Linked DNA regions of Rhinolophus ferrumequinum. The protein of the gene in region 1 binds, or shares a complex with, the protein of each later gene. Links are inferred from orthologs where the notes say so. Each region holds a gene or a part of one and is shown on either strand. Other genes may lie near its edges.

Region 1 (7,154 bases):
CTCCCTCAAAGCCAGTGGATATTTATTGTCTTCATTTTATCAAAAAAGATACTGGCTCTCAAAGAGATTAAGTGTCTTACCTCAAGCCAATGTTTAAAATAGCTCTAAACAGCAAAACCTAGCCATGCACCAGGGTCCATAAATTACAACAAACTGCCTCTCAGTTTATGAAAAAAAAAAGGTGTTATCAATAATATGCTCATGCTACAAGTTTACAAACCTTATCAGTTACTTTATTATATGAATTATTCATTCAGAAATAAAGTTATGTTGGGTGGAAAACAGAAACCCCTACAATTAGTTTATCATTCCAACACTTACTAGGAATAGTAGTAACGACTTCTCCAACCTGTAATCTGTACAAAATCGTAGTTTTTCCTGCTCCGTCTAATCCCAAAATTAAAATCCTCATTTCCCGGGTTCCAAACAGACTAGAAAATATACTTGAGAAAAAGCCACCTAAAAAAATAATAAAAGCAAAAATGTATTAAATATCATTTTCGGAACTAGGTCCACAAAACATTTAATCTTGCCTTTTCAAAGCTATACCAAATTAAATATTATATTTTCCTCCATTCATAGATGCATACTTTTGCCCCAACTAAAATACATTATTCAACATCAAACAAGTAATTACTGATTGTTACCATGTCCTAGATACTGTATCAGGAAAGGTTACCATGTCCTAGATATTGTATCAGGAAAGCACAGAAGATACACTAAAGAATAAGAGAAATATGACCACTGCCTTTATGGAGCTCACTTTCTAATCAAAAGAATATGGATAGCTTGGCATGATCACCCCACTACCCCTAAAAACCAAAGGGCGAATCAGAATGACAGTGGGACAATGAAGTCCTCGCACATGAAAAGCAATTATTATAATTATTATAGTTTATACATAATATATTTACATTATAATAAACATTATGTTAAATATTTATTATTATATAGCATCAGTACCATCAGAACTACACCTTTAATCATTGAGATTTTTGTTAAGCAATATAACTAGCACAAGAAATTGAGACATAGCGGCCCAGAATAAAAACTATTCTTCATAGAACACTCATTTTAAAAAATAACGCTACATTCAATGCATCATGAAATATCTCCAGGAAGCTTCCTATATGCGAGGTACTCTGTAATATAAAACACCTTGCGAACAGAGTATAACTGTGGTTACCAGATGTGGGAGAATCAGGGAAATGGGAGAGATGCACAAACTTTTGTTAAGAGATGAGTAAGTTCTGGAGACCAATGTGCAGCACGGTGATTATAGTTAATAATAATGTAGTGTACACTTGAAATTTGCTAAGAATGATCTCCAGAGGTTCTTACCATACACTACGTGAACTGATGAATGTATTAACTTGATTGTATAGTTATTGCACAAGGTATACATATATCAAAATATCATGTTGTATACCTGAAATACATTCAATTATTTGTCAATCGTAACCTCAGTAAAACTGGAAAAAAAATTAAAAATTAAAAAATTATCCTTTGTCTCAGCAGGCCTCCTAGAAATGATTGTGCTTACGTAAAATAACTCCTCATAGAAAGGAAGGTGGAAATTTAGTCTTTATTATTCTTTTTACAACAGAAGAAACTAATTTTTCTTTCTTTTACGATTACAAAGAAAAAGCACCTTGGCTTGACTCTTTCCCACCAAAAGCATTAGATTGAAAGTTACATTTAATAATATAAAAAACAACTGACAACAGAAGTGATGCCACTCACCAATACATGATTATTTGACAAAGAAATGGCACAATCAAGAGCTGCAAGTCTGGAAAAATGAACACACCCTCAGCTAGAGAACCCTTGGGAAGTGTAACAGTCGGGGTAGAATGTTGACAAAGTACAGGTTTGAAAAAAAAAAGGCGAAAGAGCAAAACTGAAGGTGGTTATGGATAAAAACAGGAAAGTGCTTGTGGTGTTCCAGAGCAGGAAGCAAACCCCCCAGAAAACCGTGGAGGTATTTAAATAAGCCAAAGAATTTCCATCTTCATCCGGAGGGCTGTGAACAAGTTAAAGGACTTGCACCTTCATTTTGGGCTCTAGCGGGGAAGACGACGGCTTTACCTGATGTTGGTGATGGCCATGTAGTTCCCGCAATTAGCACTCCAAAAATTGAGGTTAAAATTTCATTCACTGACCAGTAATCCCTTCCCCATTCCCTCCTCCATCTTACTCTGTTCTCTACACAAGCTACAGATAAGCAGACAAATGCCAAGATGGCTATCAAACAAAATTATGAGCAACACCTCCCTTTGGATTTCTCAAACGGATGCAGTCCCACCGACTGGGGGGGAGGGGACAGAGAGAAAGAGAATCGAGTTTCCACAATGGGGTCAGATCTCATTTTTTGCCCAAGAAACCTCAGCGAACCAGTGACTGACATGTTGCCAAGCTTCGCAAGACCAACTCCGCCCAGCAAGTCGAACTGAGTCTGAGCTGGTGAGGGAAAAGTTCATGGTCAGGGGAAAGGACTCGGAGCCGGGCTCCCAGGTCTCAGGGCTGTGCGGCCCCGCGGTGACCCCAGTCGACCCCGCTGGGATGAAGGAGAAAGTAGCGAGGACTGGGACGACCGCTCCAGGAAGGATCCATCCCCACAGGGGAAGCGCCACCGTGAATTAAGTCCTCAGCGACTTCTCCGGTGAGAAGCTGGCTAGTCCGGGGTTCCCAGGCCCGCCCCTCTCCTCCTCCGGACCCCAGCCCTGGGCCGCTGCCCCCTCAAGCGCGGCCCAAGCGCCCTTCTCAGATCCCTCACCCATGATGAGCCGCCTGTCCGCCCTCGTCGATCGTCAGAGACAGGTCGCGGCCTCCGCAGCGACTCTTTTTCGAGCCCGAATGCCGCCGCCTCCACTCGCCTCGGCCTCCCGCTCCGGCTGGGAGGCGGTTTCCTTGGAAGCCTGGTCCGCCAGCAACTTCCACGTCGGACACCCGGCGGGGGCGGGACGGAGCAGCCGTCACGACTGCGCGCCTGAACGGCGGCCTGTGCGTCCGCGTTGTCGCTTTCGACGCAGGTCCGCCGCGCTCTGGGTGTAAATACTGTGGAAGCCGGAAGAGAAAAAAAGGTCAAGGGCCCCAAATCTATCCTGCTTCTGTTTTCTCTGACAGGAGGGCTTCCGAAACAGGGAAATTTGAATTTTCATTTTTAAATTCTGACACCAAAAAGCGGCGAATCCGCTAACCAAGAATGTTAGTCAGGCTTCGGTGCGGCAGCCTGACAGGACGTGGGCGCAGGCGGCGGCGTCGCAAGAGTTGCGGGTTCTGAAGCGCCCTACGGGGCGACCCAGCTTTGCCTGGGTGCGTTTTCCGAGAAGGCAATAGCACTACGCAATAAGAAGAAGAAGACACCCCCAACTCTCCCGCCACCAATGCAGATCATCCTGACACCTAAGGCCGCTAAAGAGAGATTTTTGGCATCGCAGTGGCCTGCAGGGTCAGCGTTAGAGCGCCTCCCCCCCCCCCCACACACACACCTTTCTTTCACATGACGGTGCACCTGACCACCTTTCTGTGATTGGCAGTGTGGGCGGGCTGATCCCACACTGCCTGTTTCCTCAAGGGTCGTCGATCGGAAGTAATATAGGTCTTGACAGTGACGTCGCGGGCAGGAAGCGATACTTGAAGGATGGGGAGAAGGGATTCTCCTAGAATTTCTTTTTCTTTTTTTTCTTTAAAGTTGAGCATGCGTGTCTTGAAAATTCTTAAATACTCAGAAAAGTAAACCTATCCCTAGCCCCTAATCCCGCAGTTCTCCCTAGAAGTAACCATTGTGAATGCTTTCTTGGGTCACCTTCCAAATATAGTCTTTGCATATTATATTTTTATTTATAATAGAGATGTTCATTCAACAGAAGTTTATGGACTATCTGTTTTGTTTTTTACTTCATTTTCAGACCTCTCCAGTTGCATAAGCATGAACTAGATTTGCCTTTTGTTCTCATCTCCCCTTCCCGCTCCCAAATCATAAGTTAACAGAAATTTTTCTTGCAAGGAAAAGTTGGGGGGGGGAGTGGTGGTGTTGTCATTTGTTTTGTTGTTTGAGAAGGGGAGAGTTGAGCAACTCTTCACCTAAACACCGGGACTTTTTTAAGGCTGTGCTTCATAAGCATTGCGTTTTTCAACTCTTGGGCCTCAGTGTGCTGTGATTCCACTGACTTTTCTCACCTATTCATCTTCCTTCAATCCCTCTCTTAGCCAAGATTAGCTGCTACCACTTGGCAAATCTTGGCCATTGCTTCTTCAAATTTATGTCCATGTCAAGAGGGTAGGAGGATAATATAAGGGGAAAGGGTAGGTCAAATATATGGTGATGGAAGGAGAACTGATTCTGGGTGATGAGCACACATGTGATATATAGATGATACATTATAGAAATGTACACTTGAAACCTATGTAATTTTACTAACCATTGTCACCCCAATCAATTTAATTAAAAAACACTTATGTCCATGTCGGATTTATGTTTCCAGTATAATGCACATAGTTCCCTGAAAAAAGAGTCCCCTTAAATGAGAACTAAAAGGAAAGACATGTTTTAAACTTTATATTCATACTGTATGTTCTGAACCAAATAAGCAAATAATATATACGTGAGGATGCTGTGTAAACTGAAGTGCTATATACAAATTGAAGTTGCTACCATTTAGAGGCACTTATTAACCCAAGGGTGTTTAAGACAGAAAATGAATATGGCTTCAAAAAGTGTTGAGACAAATTTATAAATAAAGCCATAAACAGCCTAGAAAAATTTAGCTAATCTTTTGTTAGTGAGTACATCCCACCTTCACCTTCTCCTCCCTTCTCTCAATTCTCAATTCCTAAGACTTGAGTAGTTCTTTCATGGGAACACAATTTTCAATGTGTAAATGTCACATTAAGGTAGTGAAAAATAAGTTAACAAAACTACCATTTCATTTTTTTTTTCTGATACTAACTAAAGATATCCATTACTCTGCAGGAGAAGTACCTTATCTTTTGGGCAACATTATTTTTCAAAATGTAGTCATTCCTATTAATATTGACGTGGTATTACAGTTCTTGTTTCCTAAAAAAGAAATAATTGAAGAAGCAGAATTATAGCAGCATGCTGGAATTAAAGCTAAACATTTAGATTGTAAGTCTAAGGAATTTTATTCTTCAGACAAGCATATCTGAAGAATTGACCTCATCTCTCTCTGGTCTTTACTCAAATATCATCCTATTTAAAAATTTGGGGGGCCAGCCTGGTGGCTCAGGTGGTTGAAGTGCCGTTCTCCTAACATGGAGGTCGCTGGTTCGATTCCCACATGGGTCAGTGAGCTGTGCCCTCTACAGCCAAGATTGTGAACAACAGCTCTCCCTGGAGCTGAGCCTGGTGAGCCTCTTTGCCTACCGACAAGGGGGACTACAAGGCTCATAATACCAGTATGGGCCAGAGAGCTGTGTCTTACACAACTAGACTGAGAAACAACGGCATGAACCGAGTGGGAGTGTGGGGAGGCGGAAGAAAGGGGGGAAAAATTGTAAACTACCCAACATTCCTCTTATCCTGATTTTTTAATACAACTTCCCACTAAACATGTTATAATTTATTTACTTATTACGCTTATTATTTATTTATTATCTACTTCTCACTAGAATGTAACATTTATGAATGCAAGTAGTTTTTGTTTATTTTGTTCACTATTTTATTCTTGTACTTGGTCATTAAACAAATATTTAATGAGATAATTTGTTGAATTGTAAAATAAGTTTCTACAGCCAATGCCATAAACATTGGTTAACTTTAACATATAGCATGCAATATTTTTTAACTTGTTTCCTAAAATAGGCATTTCTGAACTACTGGCCTTTATTAGAAAGGAGAGGCCAAACTATCACATACAAGAAAGTCGACATCGTTGAAAAGAAGCCACCAGGTGGTGGTATTGCTTCAAACAAATTCTCAGTAGACCGAGATCAATTGGTACAATTTATTAAAAGTTGAGTGGACAATTTAATCCTTTTCAAATTATATGGTTCAATAACAATTTACTAAACTTTTTAATGTGAATGTTTTAATGCAGTCCAAGCAAGGAAAACAATTTCAAAACACCTTTAACTATAAAGTCACAATAAGATCAAGTAAATTCAGAATTTTGAAACTAGAAGGAATCTCAATGTCAACCATCTCCATTACAGATGAAGACGTAGAAACAAGCTAAGCAACAGAACCAGGACAGAGCCCTTATCGTTTGGCTTCCACACCTGGCGTAACTAGATTATGATGCCTTCTGTAATTGAGCCATTTACCAAATCATCTATACATTTGGCAAACTGATTTTCAAACACTTGTCCATGCCTCAAGAATTTGCTGCAGTTTCCAAATTTGAAACCTAACAGATGTGTGTGATTCATTGCCTAGTGGACACTGCATTCTCTTGCTCACATTTTATTCCATGAAGCAGAAACCTATAAAATATAAGTATAAATACATGTGTAATAAATATAAGCTTCAGAAAGGGCTTATCTTACTGTATATTTATAATTGTATTTTAACCTAAGGAGCATTTGAAAAACATAACTAGGTATGTGATTTTCACAAATCAAGATATGCATTTCATTTCAAATGTTTTCTTTCAATAACGTGTACTTTGGTAACAGAGCAGAATTTCTCTTTAGGACTTAGGGGTTTCTTTCTTAATTGAAATGTAATTCACATACAATAAAATCCACAATTTTTAAGTGTATGTTTCAGTGGTTTTTAGTATATTTGCAAGGTTTGCAACTATTACCACTGCCTAATTCCAGAACATTTTCAGCACCCCAAACAGAAACTCCATACCCATTACGCAATAATTCCCCACTCCTCACTTCCCTAGCCTCTGGTAACCTCTAATCTTTCTGTCACTATAAATTTGCCTATTCTAAACATTTCATATAAGGGTAATAGTACCATATTTATCAGTCTGTGTCTGGCTTATTTTACTAGCTTAATGTTTTTAAGGTTTATCCACACAGCATGTGTCAGAGTTTCATTCTTTTTTTAAAGCTGAATAATATTCTATTGTGTGTATATACAATGTTTGTTTATCCATTCATCAGTTGATGGACATTTGGGTTGTTCCACTTTTTGGCTATTTGAATGATGATGCTATGGACATTTGTGTATAAGTTTT
Region 2 (7,562 bases), on another chromosome or scaffold:
GGAACTATTAGTAGTTAATAGTACGAGAGGCTACTGAGAAGGGAAGTAAGCCTGGACTTGATTCAGGGATATGAAGGCCATATCCTCAGTAAGCCAGGGTGACCTCAGTTAAGAACCATTTCAACAAAATAAAGCTTCCAGAAGTCAAAACAGGTCGGGTAGAAGAATGGGATGGAGAGGGCCAAAGTATCCAACTGTTTTGAGTTTAGCTGTAAAGTAGAAAAAAATTAGGATAGCTGGGGGCAGGGGTGAGGTACAGAGTGGTTTGTTCTATCAGGAGAGTCTTTTTTTTTTAAAAAAAGATTTTATTGGGGAAGGGGAACAGGACTTTGTTGGGGAACAGTGTTTACTTCCAGGATTTTTTTCCAAGTCAAGTTGTTGTCCTTTCAATCGTAGCTGTGGAGGGCACAGTTCAGCTCCAGGTCCAGTTGCCGTTGTTAGTTGCAGGGGGCGCAGCCCACCATCCCTTGCGGGAGTCCATCCGGCAACCTTGTGGTTGAGAGCCTGTGCTCCAACCGAGCCATCAGTGGCAGCTCAGCTCAAGGTGCTGTGTTCAATCTTAGTTGCAGGGGCGGAGCCCACTGTCCCTTGTGGGACTCAAGGAGTCAAACCGGCAACCTTGTGGTTGAGAGCCCACTGGCCCATGTGGGAATTGAACCAGCAGCCTTCGGTGTTAGGAGCACGGAGCTCCAACCGCCTGAGCCACCGGGCTGGCCCAGGAGAGTCTTTAGCAAGTTTAAACACTGACGAGAATTTAGTAAAGTGGGGAAAAATCAGAGATTCTAAAGGAAGGAAGAACTAAGATTCAGAGCAAAGGAATAGGCCTTAAGAGTAATAGGCCTTAAAAGTAATCACTACAGGAGAGGAAGAGAATGATGCAGATGTGGATGCGTGACCCAAGTTTGGTGGCCAGATGTTGTGAGAATTCCCAACTGACAACTTTTACTTTTGTCTATGAAGAAAGATATGATTATCTGCAAGAAGTGAAGAGAATGGTGTGTGTGTGTGGGGGGGGTAAGCTAATAAGAGACTTAAGAATATTGGTTTGAAATACTCATTTCAGCAAGCAGGGAGACGACTAGAAAAATCCAGTAGGATTATAGGGGCTGAGGCTCTACTTGAAGCTGGTAACCATGGATTCAGTGATATAAATCTGATCTGTAGTGATGTCCTTGGGCGGCTTTTAGTTCTCCAAATGCAAGTACAAAAGTTTCATTTTATCTAAGAGTCAAAAAAAGAGAGATGAGTTAAGCAAATGCAGCTTATTCCAAGAGGATCAGTAGAATTTAAGCCAAATAGGAATCTAAAGACAGGAAGGTGTTAATGGAGAGAAGGTAGAAGCAATGACCTAACTGCTCCAGTGAAATCAAAGACAGTAGAGGAATAGTTCCATAAATAAAGTGGGAAGAATATGGTAGATGAATAAGATGCAAGTAATAGTGTTTTGGAGATACAGCAGTGTGAGGCGAAGACAATGGCTAGGACACAACCATGGGAACGGGTGGCTAAGAGAATGAAAATCATTGGCGATTGGGTCAAAAGCTAAGAGACCAAAATACTGAATGGAGTGCCCATGTAAACATTAAGTATCGACGGGTAGATACGAAGACCAAGGGCTGGCTATTTAGTGGAAAGTAGAAGAGCAGTAGTTTCTAAGGACAAGTAGAGACGGTGGTACACTTGAATAGCCTCAAAGGAATCAGACTTTGCAAAGGAGTAGGCAATTATATTCTGAAGCCACCTGGCAGGAAAACCAACCCTAGAAAGGCAAAAAGCTGATTGGAGTTACTTTTCTCAATAGGTAAGTGTGCGTAAGATATGCTTCTAGTATCTTCTGGATTCTTGCTTCCTCATCTGTTAAGTGGGGATAATACCTTTTACTTGTAGTTTTTTCATAAAGATTAACTAAGATGAAGCATGACATATACCAACATCAGAACCTGTACAAAGTGGGGGCTCAATAGATATTATTTTGTGAGGTAAACTGGTATAGCAAAAAAAGTAAAAAACAAACAAACATGGATTTTAAAGGCAGATCGGTATTTTAATACAATGTCTGCTCATAGAGAATTTCAACTTCCCGATCTGTACAGGGAGAAAACGTGTGCTTTGAGGGTGACTGTAAGAAGTTATTTTTATTATTGTGGGTGCCAATTATCTATGAGCTTCCATTTCCTCTGTAAAAAATGAAAGGACATGGTCACCTGATGGGAGATAGCGGAGGGTGAGATGGGGGATTAAGGAGAGCAGTGAAGGTGTAAATAACTGCCTTGGTGATTAAGGAGAGCAAATAGACCGGAACCCACAAGGATTGCTTATTGGTAGTAAGAGCTTGGTTGAAGTTGGAGACCTTTAATATTTAGTCGCATTTATTATACAGCTGTGTTTTTCTCTAGCAATTTGAATGGAGGAACAGAAAAGATTAAACAGCTGGAACGATACAAAAAGGACACAAGGGCAGCAAGAAAATGGGGTGATGGAATGATAGGCCATTTATACTGCTGAATGCAGAAGTAAATTCCACAAGGGGGCAATAATGAGGAAAGAATGGATAGACTGGAATTAGATAGAAATCACAGAACAGGCACAGTGGGAACAACATGGGGTAGAGGGTAGAAGAGCTGGAATTAGAAGATTATAGATAAGCACTGAGACATTAAGGTAACATTAAAGAGCCTGAAGATTTAATTTTATCCCTTTTTTTCCCCATAATCACTACCATCTACTTCTCCCTTGGGTTTCTCTTCCTCAAGTCTGACAGTATTGCAGAATTCGGCCTAAGTTTTCCCCTTTCTTACTGCCCCTGAAGACAAGCACACAGACCTTCTTTGCTTAAAGGTTTTACTGCTCATTCAGGAAGACAGGAAATAGTGAGAAAGTAACAACTTGGGGAAATGGCTGAAGTTCCAGAACACCCCTGAATTCTTACAGGTTTCATCTCTGTCCTGGAGCTACTGATTTCCCAGTAGGTAGTGCCTAAAAACCCTGTGATTTCTTGATCTACTGTCCTTAGACATCTCCTCCTTTCCCTAAATCTGGCAGAATTCCTTCCTGTAAAACACAGTCCACAAGAAAATAGCTATAAATGAATGCACACCTGGCTCACAAGTGAGCCATTAAAGTCAGATTTATGTGAAGAAGAGCTAGACAGAGCTCCCATTTTCTCTGTCATCTGGGCAGGAACCAATTTCCCGTTGCTATTACCAACCTTAAAATTGTACCCACAGACCTTGCTTTAACCAGGTGCCTGGGAATGCTAAGGTTTGCGTCCATACAAAGAAGGCACTTTCTCTGCAGACAGGGCTAAAGCCAGCAGATATTCACTAACTGACAGAATAAAAGATGATGCTAATAAAGTAGGCAAAGCTTCCCTGCCCAAAATATAAACCAAACAGAATAAAAGCAGGTTTATTAACTCTTCCTGGAGCCACAGTACCCAGCTCTCAGGCAAGCCCTCACTTTCTATATACAGGCTGGACCCAGCCCAAGCAAGGTCCCTGGAAAGGGGTTCATCTCCTGATGGGGAGAAACACATGGGTGGGGATAAGCTTCAGGAGAACACAGTCTTTGTCTCGTTCACTGCTGTGTTGCATGGCCTCAAATAGTGCATGACACATAGTAGGCACTCAGTCCACTGGCTCCTTCAATTTGAGGGGCCATCCAGTGCCTCCCTTCCTGGGGTTGGGGATGGCTAGCTGCCTGATGGCGAGGTTCCAGGCTGTTCAGGAGCAACACCTGGCACAGCTGAGGCAGCCTCGTAGTCTGCGATGCGGCGCTGTACCAGGGCAGGCATGAGCTGCACATAAGCAGCCATGAGGCGATGGTTGGAATGGATCAGCTTCCCAGCACAGCTATGCAGACAGGCTTCCTGGAAGGAAGACAGGGTGGAAACAGGGGCCAAAGGTGTCCTGTCAGATCCGTTTCCTTCCTTCCCATCTCCAACCTAGGGGCGAGGGACATGGAAAGGCCCTGGCCAAAGGCAGTGGAGGAAGGAAGGAAGCAGATTACGGTTAACTCTGAGGATGAAGAGTAATCCCCTACTCGGTCCCCCACCTCCTCGGCATCCAGGGCTCGGTGGTGCAGGCTGGGTACGCAGCGCTGGAAGCAGAGTTCCGTCATCCGATTGTAGACCAACAGGAAGTCCCGCAACTAGGAGAGAAGGGGACCAAGAACTCAGCTATAAGGGGGCCCACACCTGAATTCAAGGCCGCGCCTTGAAGTTTACCAGGACCGCGCACCACAGCCCGATGTCCCTAGCCCTCGGATCCCTAGCTTTTTGGGGTTCCCGCCATGCAGACGGCGAGGACAGTTGAATGTAGGGCTTTGAAGCCACATGAGCTGCCACTCACGTTTCTCAGCTGCTGCTGCTGCTGCTGCTGCTGCTCCATCCCGCCACAAGCTCACGTCCTGCGTCACTTCCGTTACAGCTTCTCGGTAACGCCCCGGAAGTTATCTGTCGTCCATCCCCAGGGACTGAGGGGTTGACTCAAGGATCGTCCTGCCCCCGGCTGCTAACGTCACCTCCGCCCTTATAATCTGCGACGTGGCTGGCTTCTTCTGCCCGGGAGAGGACGTCACTTCCTCCGAGTCCCTGACCTGCTGCTAGGATCGCGACGGGAGCTGGAGCCCGAGGTCCCCCCGCGGCCCGGGCCTGGCGCCCTGAGGGGAAGAGCGGCCTGTCCTCAGGTGAGAGGGCCATACTTGGGCAAGGGGAAGTTGAATGCATGAACCTGTCTTGAGGGCAAGATACCTCTGAGCCTGGGAAAGGATGAGGACACACCTGATGCCCAGGTGTATTGGGGTGGGGGGTGGGGGAAACACACCTAGGGAAACATAACCGACTTTGGAAGCCATCACCTATGTCCTGGGGAAAAGAGGCTTTCCCAGAGGCTGGGAACATAAACCAACTGAATCAACTAAGGCCTGGTGGGAAGAGCCCGAGGAAGAGAAGGTGCATGGTATGGAGAAGGGGGGAACGGTCTGAAGGAAAGGGGAAGAAACACTAAAGGGGTGTTGAAAGGCTAAGCGATGGAGAACATACTGAGCCTTGGAAAGGGGTTCATCTCCTGATGGGGAGAAACACCTGGGTGGGGGTGAGCTTCAGGAGAACACAGTCTTTGTCTGGTTCACTGCTGTGTTGCACGGCCTCAAATAGTGCATGACACATAGTAGGCACTCATTAAATGTCTGTTGAATGATCGAATGCATGAATAATCATCGGAGTCCTGGTGAAGTTGGAGAGTCATGAGAAGACACCTGAGCATGTGTAAAAATATGCACCTTGGAGGGAAGAGGTACATATACTCGCACTATCTGAGGGAAGGAGTGGTAGCCACACTCCAGAACACTCTACCCCTGGGACAACCTCTAAAACCTCAGAAACGGTAGGGGAGACATTTCTCTTCTGTGGTCCTGGCCAATTTCCAGAACTATCTGTGTTGGGCTTTGCAGGGCGCTGGGGTGGAGACATTGACTCCAGTCCCTTCCCTAGCCATGACGGACGGGATCCTAGGGAAGGCAGCTACAATGGAGATCCCCATCCATGGGAACGGCGAAGCTGGGCAGCTTCCTGAGGATGATGGGCTGGAACAGGTGCATCTGTTTGATTCTTCTCCTTATTGTTCAATTTAGGAATCCCAACTCATAAACCCTGGCCTATTCCAGTAGCCTTTCCTAACTTATCTAACTCCCTTCTTTTTACAAATTTTTGTTCTGATTCTGTGCAGACTTCCTTTGTGTGCTCTCTCTGTGATGCTTCAATCCAAGTTTGTTCTCACCCCCAAAATGCTTCAGCTGTCCCTATGTTCCTGAAGCCCCCCCCTCTTCTCTGGCCTATAGGACCTCCAGCAGGTGATGGTGTCAGGACCCAACCTCAATGAAACTAGCATTGTGTCTGGTGGCTATGGGGGCTCTGGTGATGGACTCATCCCCACAGGTATGAATGATCAGAACAGGACAGGAAGCTTGAGTGGAGAAGGGGAGAGGAATGGTTCTGGGGAGCATAGGATATGTGTAAGAAAGCTTGAGTTACCTCTGGAGATCTTGGAAACCTCTGCTAGTGTGAATCCTGTGGACTGTCTCAGCCCAAGACCAGTTCCCAGGGTTGTTCAACTGCCTCTACTTGCCATTTCCCTTGAGATGTGCCATTTCTCTGCTGCTACCACCTAAGTCAAGTTAAGAACTCTGTGCTCTGGAGCTTGGGCTGATTTGGAGATTTATGAGGCTTTTCAGAGTTTTACTTTAGACTCTAAAGTTTAGAGGGACAAGCAGCCCTGAATCTCACACGGACTAGGGTTCCACATGGGAATGTCAACTAGGTTGCCTGTTATCAGGACCCACCATCCTTGACCTCCCGCCCCACACTCATCTTATTTTCTTGTTTCCTCTGCCCCTGTACACCAGCAGCTCCCTCTTCCCTCCCCCTCCAACCCCACCACCACCTCAGAAGGAGGCCAGATGTTTTTGGGATTTGGGTCTCAGGGCACAAGGTATGAGCTGCTCCTAGTAAGTAGGAGAATCTGTCTCCAGCTTCTGCTCCCTCAGGGAAGTCATGTTCAGGTGCTGGGAAGGAAGTATGGGTGGAGCCCCAGAGGCGTCTGGTTGTATCTGAGAGAGGCTAGAGTCAGAGAACTTGGTCCTTTAGGGTCTGGCCGCCATCCATCTCACAGTGCCACTCCTGCTGGCTCCGGAGATGAGGTGGCTCGGGGCATCGCTGGAGAGAAGTTTGACATCGTCAAGAAATGGGGCATCAACACATACAAGGTGGGCTTCAAGCAGCTCTCCCTTCCCCCAAACTCCCTCTGGGTACCTTTTGGCCTTCTCCCAGATCCTAATAGTCCATCTATATTCCAGCCTGGGTATGCTGGGGTAGATACCTGTTCGGGGAGCAGGGTGCTAGGGTCTCTGACCTATTCCCCCACTTCCCAATCAGTGCACAAAGCAGCTGTTATCAGAGCGATTTGGCCGAGGCTCCCGGACTGTGGACCTGGAGCTAGAGCTGCAGATTGAGTTGCTGCGTGAGACGAAGCGCAAGTATGAGAGTGTCCTGCAGCTGGGCCGGGCACTGACAGCCCACCTCTACAGCCTGCTGCAGACCCAGCATGCACTAGGTGACGCCTTTGCTGACCTCAGCCAGAAGTCCCCAGAGCTTCAGGTGCCTCAGCCAGGCCAAAGAAAGTTGGGGGGGACTGGGCCCAGGCCCTCCCAGGCAGTCACCCCTCAGCCTCCCTCCCTCCATCCCTCCTGCAGCCCAGAGGGAGAATCCCTCCAGGGTGAGCCCAGCCCTGTCCCCAGCAGCACTCACCTGTGGAGGCAGCCTAAGGGTTTGTACGGAGGTCCAAAGTCGGAGGGGCAGGGGGCGGGGGCACACTAGGTGCCTCACAAGTAACCCTTCTCTGCATTGGCGAGAATGCCTTTGGTGCTCAGCCTAATCAGAGCTTCTCCCTTGCCTGCTGCACTGGCTTTCCTTGTTCTAGTCCTGTGAACTTATCTGAGAACCTCACCCCCACATTCCCACCCCAGGCATCCCCAGGGTGGCCCCACTAACTTTCTGGCTAAGAAAG
Region 3 (7,407 bases), on another chromosome or scaffold:
ATGGCAAAGCTGGAATTTGAGCCCAGCCAGTTGAGCTTAATGTCTGTGTGCTTATTCATTATGATACCTAGTCTTTCCACACCACCCACACATCTTCAATATGAAGCAAGTGTCTTTTTTTTTTTTTTTAACCACAACACAAGCAGTATCCAAATGTTTGCAAGAGTGAATTTGTTGATTTAGGAGTCTGATTATCAAGTAGTTACTTAATAAGGAGGAAGGAATTTGACACCTCACCTCCATTTCATCAACTCTTCTTTGTTACCAAGAAGCCTCATTCTTGAAACAAATTGTTTTTTTCTCAGCCCAGTATTAAGTTTTTCCTTCAAATGATTCCTCTCATTAAATTGTTGAGTCATCATGTAAACATCCCTAGGACATGTCATGTAAACAATTATAAAACTGTTCAAAATTAAATTGAACTGCTTTTAAAAAAAAATTGAGCAGGGTGTGTTTCAGAGGAGAGCCAGAACTGTTGAACATATTACAGTTGGAGACCAGGATAAAGGGCAAGAAGGCCTGAGGTCAGTTTCCAATTCTGTAACTGAGATCATATGACTCTGGGATAGTCATTTTTTTTGCTCTTCTTTGTGACTATTTATCAAACAAGCAAAAGCAATAATAATGAAACCTCTCACTTTTCCATAGTTTACTTACTTTCTGCCTACAATGGGAATTAAAAACAAAGATACAAAAAAAAAAAAAAATTCCTTAAAGCAAAGACTCCAGGATGAAAAAGTAGGCTAAATTCCTGGGGGAGTCATAGTCTAAGTTTAGACATTGTGTAGACCTTTCTTTCACGAGAGGTTTTTCCAACGTTTTCCAACTTTATATAGCCATACTGTTTTTTTGCAAAAGTGATGGTTTAGTAGTGGATGATTTCAGTTTGGGACATGTTGTATTTGAAGTGCCTCTGGGTCATTAAGTTGTCTAGTAGGCAGTTGGATGTATTAAGACTAAGTAATTCTGCAGAAATTTAGTGGCTGGCTCTGTACTGGGCACTGGCTAAATTGCATGAGAGTCATGGTTCTCGTCTCCCCAAACGTGAGAGCTTAATGGAGATGCTGTAATCTGGAGCTCAGGGGAGAGATCTAGGCTGGAGCTGTCAACATATAGAGGGAAAGTGTTACAAGTAAGAAGAGAAGGAAACTCTGATAATTTGTAAGTGTCATTTATGAGCTATACTCTATGCATATCATCTCATTTCAGCTTCACAACATTCCTGTGAATAGTATTACAATGTTACAGATGAGGAAAACGAAGTACAGAGTTGAGACTCAGAGATCACAATCTGGCTTTTGGGCTAAATTTTATTTGAAGTACTGTTTTGCTTCAATGACTTAAAATTCCTGGAGATGTGTTTGTACTAGATGTGTTTGTATCTAGTTTATTACTTTCCCTCACCCTCCACTGTCTTATACCATATGTGCTAACTCATAACCTTTCTGCTTCCTTCAGGTATTTGACTTTGTACTATGTGGTTTATCTAAGTGCCAAAGATGACAGGGCTAGAAAATATCTGACTCGTATTTGAACCCTAATCTGGGTGACATCAAAGTCCATGCTCTTTACTGCTGTGCTATACTTCTGTGGATGGCAGGGATCGGGATTCTTGATGAGGGCAAAGAAAGTGTGTTGTGTGGTGATGCAAAAGGGCCAATCACCAGAAAAGAAGGAAATCAGCATTCAAGATTTCAGCTACAATTGGTTCTTTGGCTAGAAGCCTTTCCTGACATACTATTTTCTTATGTAAGGCTTGGAAAGGAACTTCATACTACTATGTAATGCTGTTTTCTGAGGCGTAGTCCCTAGTGATCATGTTATTCTGAACATTTTCTGAAATATAGACGTAGAATGGCATCTGCCATTGGAAGGGGTGAAAGAATGATAATCAGTTTTGGTCTATAATTATGAATATTGCTTCTTTGTGTTTAATAGGAACACATGAGTTCCTCTGGGGAACTAAATTCATGAGGCCTCTGGTCATGAGGATTGGGTGCAAGCCCATTTCAAACGTCCTTCCATTCTGCAGTGAGGTGTGCCAGTCTGTGAGCAGCTGGTAGAAGATGAGTTCAAAATAGTAACATGGAATATTGGGGCAAGCAGAGTGCTCTGGCTGGGTTAATGCAGGACTCTGAGAAGTGCACCAAGGCAAGAGCCTTTAGCAGGTGGTGATTTGTATTCAGGAGTGGCTGAAGAATTAGAGTAAGGACAGGTTTAATTAAGAACAGACAATGAATGTTAATTTGCAGAGGCCTGAAGCTGAATGACGGTAACTGTGAGGAGGCTAGCTGTGTCAACAAAATTGTGGTTAAATGTGATGATTTCAACCCTGTCCCCCTGTCCTCTCTTTTTTTGTGTCCTAGCAAGGCTTTTTTTCACATAATTAGTCCTTTTCTGGCCTTTTTCTTTCTCTAAGAGATGCCTCAAATTTCTTCTTATTTATTTGTTTATTTTTTATTATGGACTGCTTTGATAGGGCCCATATGTATGTATACACATACACATAAATACATACCTACATACATACATACACACGAAGGTCTGACAATTAAGTTCGCGGACTTGTTTCAACGATGTTGCTAATCTTTTTTGATATCAGAGGGATTATTCATTATGAATTTGTACCAACTGGACAAACAGTTAACCAAGTTTACTATTTGGAAGTGCTGAAAAGGCTGTGTGAAAAAGTTAAATGACCTGAACTTTTCACAAAAAATTGATGGTTTTTGCATCACGACAATGCACCAGCTCACATGGCACTGTCTGTGTGGGAGTTTTCAGCTAGTAAACAAACAACTATAGAACACCCTCCTTACTCCCAATGACTTCTCTTTTTACCAGAAGATGAAATATGGAAGATATTTTGATGACATTCAGGACATCAAAGGTAATACGATGACAGCTCTGCTGGCCATTCCAGAAAGAGTTCCAAAATTGCTTTGAAGGGTGGGCTAGGTGCTGACATTGGTGCATAGCTTCCCAAGGGGAGTACTTCAAAGGTGACCATAGTGATATTCAGCAATGAGATATATAGCACTTTTTCTAGGATGAGTTCGTGAACTTACTTGTCCGACCTTGTAAGCATAAATATAATATTGGCAACCTTTGATTTATAATGTGAATGTAGGGGTGACAATGCATATCAGGCATCTGGAGTCTGGGAGCAGCTGAAAGCTTACTGACGTTTATAGTCTTGAGAGAGAAAGACTCCTAAGAAGAAAGGAAAGGAAAGAGAAAGAGAAAAAGAAAGAGAAAGAGAAAGGAAGGAAGGAAGGAAGGAAGGCAAGAAGGAAAGAAGGAAAGAAAGAAAAGAAAAAAAGAAACTAGGTGTTCACTATGAGGTAAGGGGACTTATCCCAGTTGTCAATTCAGGGTTCAGAGCAGGCCCTGCTCGGGCTCTAATACATTTAGGGATCAGGCTATGGAATCTTAGAGAGCAACTTGCTCCTATAATTGCTAGTAAATACAATTTGTTAAAATGTGGAGATGAGTATACATACTGTCAGATTCTGATACCTGAGGCCATGTGAAGCCATTTGGTATAGACGTAGGTTGATGACATAGATTTGAGGGGTCGCAGATGACCAAAGTGCAGGGTGTTGAATGAATCAGGCACTTAAACATTAAACTCTCTGAGGATGATTGCAGGTACTAGGGATAAATGTGGACTCTTTAGGAATCTGTGTCTCCCCCCCCCCCCCCCGCCCCCTCCGCGGGCCCTGAATTCTTTTAACATCACCAAGGAACTGGACTTAGCGTGATAAAGATTGTTGAATGAATAAAGTATGTGATAATATATGATTTCAATGAAATTAAAAAACAAAGGCAGATGTCCAAATAATTGAGGTCTTTACGATATCGGCCTGTAACACCGGAGCCCGGGAGCCTCCTGTCAAGGAAGCGGGGAGGGTCTCTCTGGGGAGCAGCAGGAGTACTACGTCGGTACTGGAGACACAAAATCCTCACCACGGACCCCGAATAAAAGTACACTATCCTTCAGAGCCCACGGCAGGTTCCCTGACGGCTCCTTCTTCCATGCCCGACGCTCACACTTCGCGGTGGGCCTGCCAGCCGAGCCACAGGAGAGCACCGTCCCCGTGTGACTTCGCAGAGCCGACGCCCAGGTGTCCGTCCGTGGAGAGCTCGCAGCAGCGCGGGCGCCCGGCTCTGAGTCCAGCCCTGCGCGCAATGGGTTTGGGCCCCGCAGATCCCTGCGCCGCCCTCCGCGCTCCGGCGTTCGGGAGCGACGGCCCGAGCGCGCATGTGCCGGCCAGACGGGGCGCTTGTCCCCTCCCGCGCCCCGTAGCGCTCCGCCGGCGAGCTCCACGTAGGCCGCGCAGGCGCCCTTGGCACACGGCTCACCTGCTGCCGTTGTCGCCGCCGCCGCCGCCGCCGCCGCCGCCGCCGCTGCCCGGGCTGGATGGGGGGCCGCCAACCAGTGCCACCCAGAAGGAAGAGACGCGGCGGCGGCGACGCCGACACCTGCAAGACGAGAGTCCCGATCTGCCCGCGAGCCCCAGGAGCAGGCGGCGAGGCCCGGCCCCCGCGGTCCCTGCTGTAGAGAAGCTGCGGTCGCTGCCGCGGCCGGGTCTGCCTGGGCACTCCCCCCTCAGGTCTCATTCACACTCAGGACCCCGCGCTGCGCCATGTTCAAGAAACTGAAGCAGAAGATCAGCGAGGAGCAGCAGCAGCAGCTCCAGCAGGCGCTGGCCTCTCCTCAGGTACTATGGCTGCCTCTTCCCTACTTCCCAACACCCCTGGACCCTGGCTCCGGGGCAGAAAGGAGGGGTGGTTCTTCGTGATCCTTGAGCTCTAACCTGAGGATTCCCGCGTACCCCGCGCTGGGGACGACCTCAGGTTGGCTCCTGACCCGGGTCCCCATCCCAAAAGTCCGTTCTGGAAAATGGCTGGGGGTGGCTGGCTCCTTCGTGATGGCTGACCTCTGTGACAGTTTTCCCCTCTGCCGGCCTGACCCCGGCCTGAGAATAAGTGGGAGGGGCTCCGATGTTGCACGATTTTTGACCCATATCGAAGGTTTCCCCACCCAGCCGAGACCCCAACTCAGGAGTGAGGGCAGGATGGGGAAACCTGGGTCCCTTGTAGTGTCTGACCTCTTGACTAAAGCCCCGTCTCCCATCCCGGATCCGAGACTGAGTACCGAGGGGTCGGTCAGGATCCCGCAGGACCTCCGACGCGTGACTGAAGTCTAATTCCACACCCTGGTTCAGGGGTGAGGGCCATGGGTCGAGCCATTTCAGGCGAGGCTGCTTGCAAGAGCGTGGGGACCTGAAAGCGGTGGCAGCGTGGCCGGCGTCCAGCCCTGGAGGCTGTCACGAGTTAGGCACTTAGCATAACTTGTTTGATCCCGGGCTGGCACCGGGGCTGACACTCTGAGGCCGGGCTGGGGTTGTGCCTGTCTCCAACCCGGCGTGTGCTTTTTCAGGACTCTTGTTACGTGGTTTTTCACCAATGCTGTTGCTTCAGGAAATGACAGTTTCCAGGAAAAAGGGGGCGTGTTAGTGTTAATTTAAAGAAAACAGTAGCTTAAGCACCAATGGATGTGTGTTTTGGTGCTGGTGGCACGTGGTGTCTTCAGGGAAGATGAGGGCTTCTGCGAAATTTCTTCCCGAGCTTTCTGAATCTCAACACATTGAGCAAATCTCTCTCTCAATTTTAGTTTCCACAAGGAAATCTGAATTTTGACTAAGTTGGAGGCAGCTCTAATACATTTTTTAACATAACATCTTATATAACTTTTAAACAACGAGACGTCTAACGAACAACTATTAAACAGCTATTGCACTGAGTTTGTTCTGAACTATAAATTGAAGTTATTCTCTTAAAATTTAAAGCTCGAGTAGAGTAAAACAGTGCTTGAAATATATTGGAACATGACAGTGAAGGCTTGTTTATTCTCCCAAGTGAAATGTAAATAGTGGCTAAAATTTAAATAGTAAATGTTTTACTCTTTGCACCATTTACTGCAGGCTTTTCTGACTTTACAAAACAGTTATTTAAGAAACAAAAAACTTAAAAGTGAGGTAGAGATGAGGAATGTGGGGACCCGGGCATGTTAGTGAATGTAAGGCACTTACATTTAGGAACGTATAAAACATCATTGATCCAGTCTTCTACCTCTAGAAATTTATTCTAAGAACATTTAGGATGTATTCAAAGATTTAGCCACATGGATTTTCATTTCATGTTGTTTTAATGGGTAAAAGTAGGCTAAAAAATGTTTAACAATAGAAATAGAAAGTTGTATCCGGTAGTCAAAATGCCATCATTTATTGGGTTCTTACTATGTGCCAGGCATTTTGCTTAGTATTTTTACATGGATTATTTTATTTAATTGTCACATAAACCTACGAGGTAGATAATCTTTTATAGATGAAGGAGTGTGAGGTTCAAAGAAGTTCAGTTGCCGAATATCACACTGCTAGTGTTAGAGCCTACAGAAAAGTATTATTAATATGCTAATATTAATGTTAAGAAAAATTAAAAAGCATGTAATCTCAGTTTTGTGGAAACAATATGTATATAAATACTTATATACAGACATAGTAAAAGTATTTTAAGAAGATTATGCTTGAAGGTGCTGGTGAGATATTATGAGTATTCTTTTTCTTATTTGTAATGTTTAGTTTTTCTTCATGAAAATTAATTGCTTTTATATACGTTAACAAAAAGACGGTCTTTAGAACAATGATAAAAAAGCTAGTTACAAACTAACACATTAGAGCTCCCAGGTTTGATATGTTGATGCCTCTGGTGAGACTATGTCTAGATCAAATAAAATCACTTTGTGTACAAAAGAATTAAAACATTTCTCTTTGATATTATGTTATACTCGTATTTATCCAGAATGCAAAAGGAAATTGTTAGCGATCAACAACTGATAGAAACTTGATTCTCTTCTGGTCTCAGACTCTCAGCTATTCCGAACACTGAACATTGCAGATGAGTAGTTCTGGATCATTGTTCTCAGTTAAGGATTTCTTTCATGCATGAATTAGAAAAAAAACACAAAAACACCTTTTTTGATGATAATCCTTTTTGCAACAGATTACGCAAATGCTTGTTTTCTTAAGCAAAGGATTTTGAGTTTGTATATTATCATTTCTTCACTTTGAGTATAAATTGTTTTGTGTTGAAGGTACCATGCCCTCAAGAATTTAATGGGGTGTGAAAGGCAGTTTCCTTTTACCCACTCAAGAGGATTTATTTGTTTGTTCTTGGTCTAGGTTGGAAATTTCCCTTCAGACCTTTGAATGTATTTCTTCTCTATCTCTGTGGCAGATGAGAAGTCTAATTCCAAACCTTTTCTTTCTTCATTGGTAGTTAACCTCTTTGAATCATCTCTTTTCTGCCTTGATGTTAGAAAATTTCTAGTTTTTTTCCCTC

The links. The genes of interacting proteins can lie anywhere in the genome.
Region 2: the proteins of ARL1 (region 1) and ARFIP2 are in contact, whole or in part, in a crystal structure (PDB 4DCN), measured with the Homo sapiens proteins. The link is inferred for Rhinolophus ferrumequinum from reciprocal best matches to the Homo sapiens genes ARL1 and ARFIP2. Residues at the interface, in NP_001168.1 of Homo sapiens: Glu17, Arg19, Gln38, Ile46, Ile49, Gly50, Phe51, Asn52, Val53, Glu54, Thr55, Gln64, Trp66, Ile74, Tyr77, Cys80, Tyr81; in NP_001363487.1 of Homo sapiens: Phe205, Thr212, Lys216, Thr217, Asp220, Asp278, Ile281, Lys282, Phe285, Leu286, Glu288, Asn289, Lys292.
Region 3: the proteins of ARL1 (region 1) and GOLGA4 are in contact, whole or in part, in a crystal structure (PDB 1UPT), measured with the Homo sapiens proteins. The link is inferred for Rhinolophus ferrumequinum from reciprocal best matches to the Homo sapiens genes ARL1 and GOLGA4. Residues at the interface, in NP_001168.1 of Homo sapiens: Ile49, Gly50, Phe51, Gln64, Trp66, Ser73, Ile74, Pro76, Tyr77, Cys80, Tyr81, Ser83, Glu115; in NP_002069.2 of Homo sapiens: Thr2173, Glu2174, Glu2176, Tyr2177, Lys2180, Val2181, Glu2184, Glu2190, Thr2193, Lys2196, Val2197, Thr2200, Val2201.

What each region holds. Positions count from the first base shown.
Region 1 is NC_046293.1:17,760,997-17,768,150, reverse strand, and holds the start of ARL1 (ADP-ribosylation factor-like protein 1), read right to left. Parts: upstream 3,021-7,154; 5' UTR 2,781-3,020; coding exon 2,777-2,780; intron 460-2,776; coding exon 322-459; intron 1-321. UniProt on the Homo sapiens protein: GTP-binding protein that recruits several effectors, such as golgins, arfaptins and Arf-GEFs to the trans-Golgi network, and modulates their functions at the Golgi complex.
Region 2 is NC_046294.1:45,324,961-45,332,522, forward strand, and holds the start of ARFIP2 (arfaptin-2), read left to right. Parts: upstream 1-4,548; 5' UTR 4,549-4,686; intron 4,687-5,451; 5' UTR 5,452-5,493; coding exon 5,494-5,592; intron 5,593-5,838; coding exon 5,839-5,935; coding exon of another isoform or gene 5,936-5,940; intron 5,941-6,596; coding exon of another isoform or gene 6,597-6,643; coding exon 6,644-6,762; intron 6,763-6,931; coding exon 6,932-7,153; intron 7,154-7,562. Other genes in the region: TIMM10B (mitochondrial import inner membrane translocase subunit Tim10 B), read right to left, coding at 3,692-3,868, 4,054-4,149, 4,350-4,388. UniProt on the Homo sapiens protein: Plays a role in constitutive metalloproteinase (MMP) secretion from the trans Golgi network. May have important functions during vesicle biogenesis at certain cargo subdomains, which could be predominantly utilized by secreted MMPs, such as MMP7 and MMP2.
Region 3 is NC_046300.1:14,969,626-14,977,032, reverse strand, and holds the start of GOLGA4 (golgin subfamily A member 4), read left to right. Parts: upstream 1-4,393; 5' UTR 4,394-4,649; coding exon 4,650-4,724; intron 4,725-7,407. UniProt on the Homo sapiens protein: Involved in vesicular trafficking at the Golgi apparatus level. May play a role in delivery of transport vesicles containing GPI-linked proteins from the trans-Golgi network through its interaction with MACF1. Involved in endosome-to-Golgi trafficking.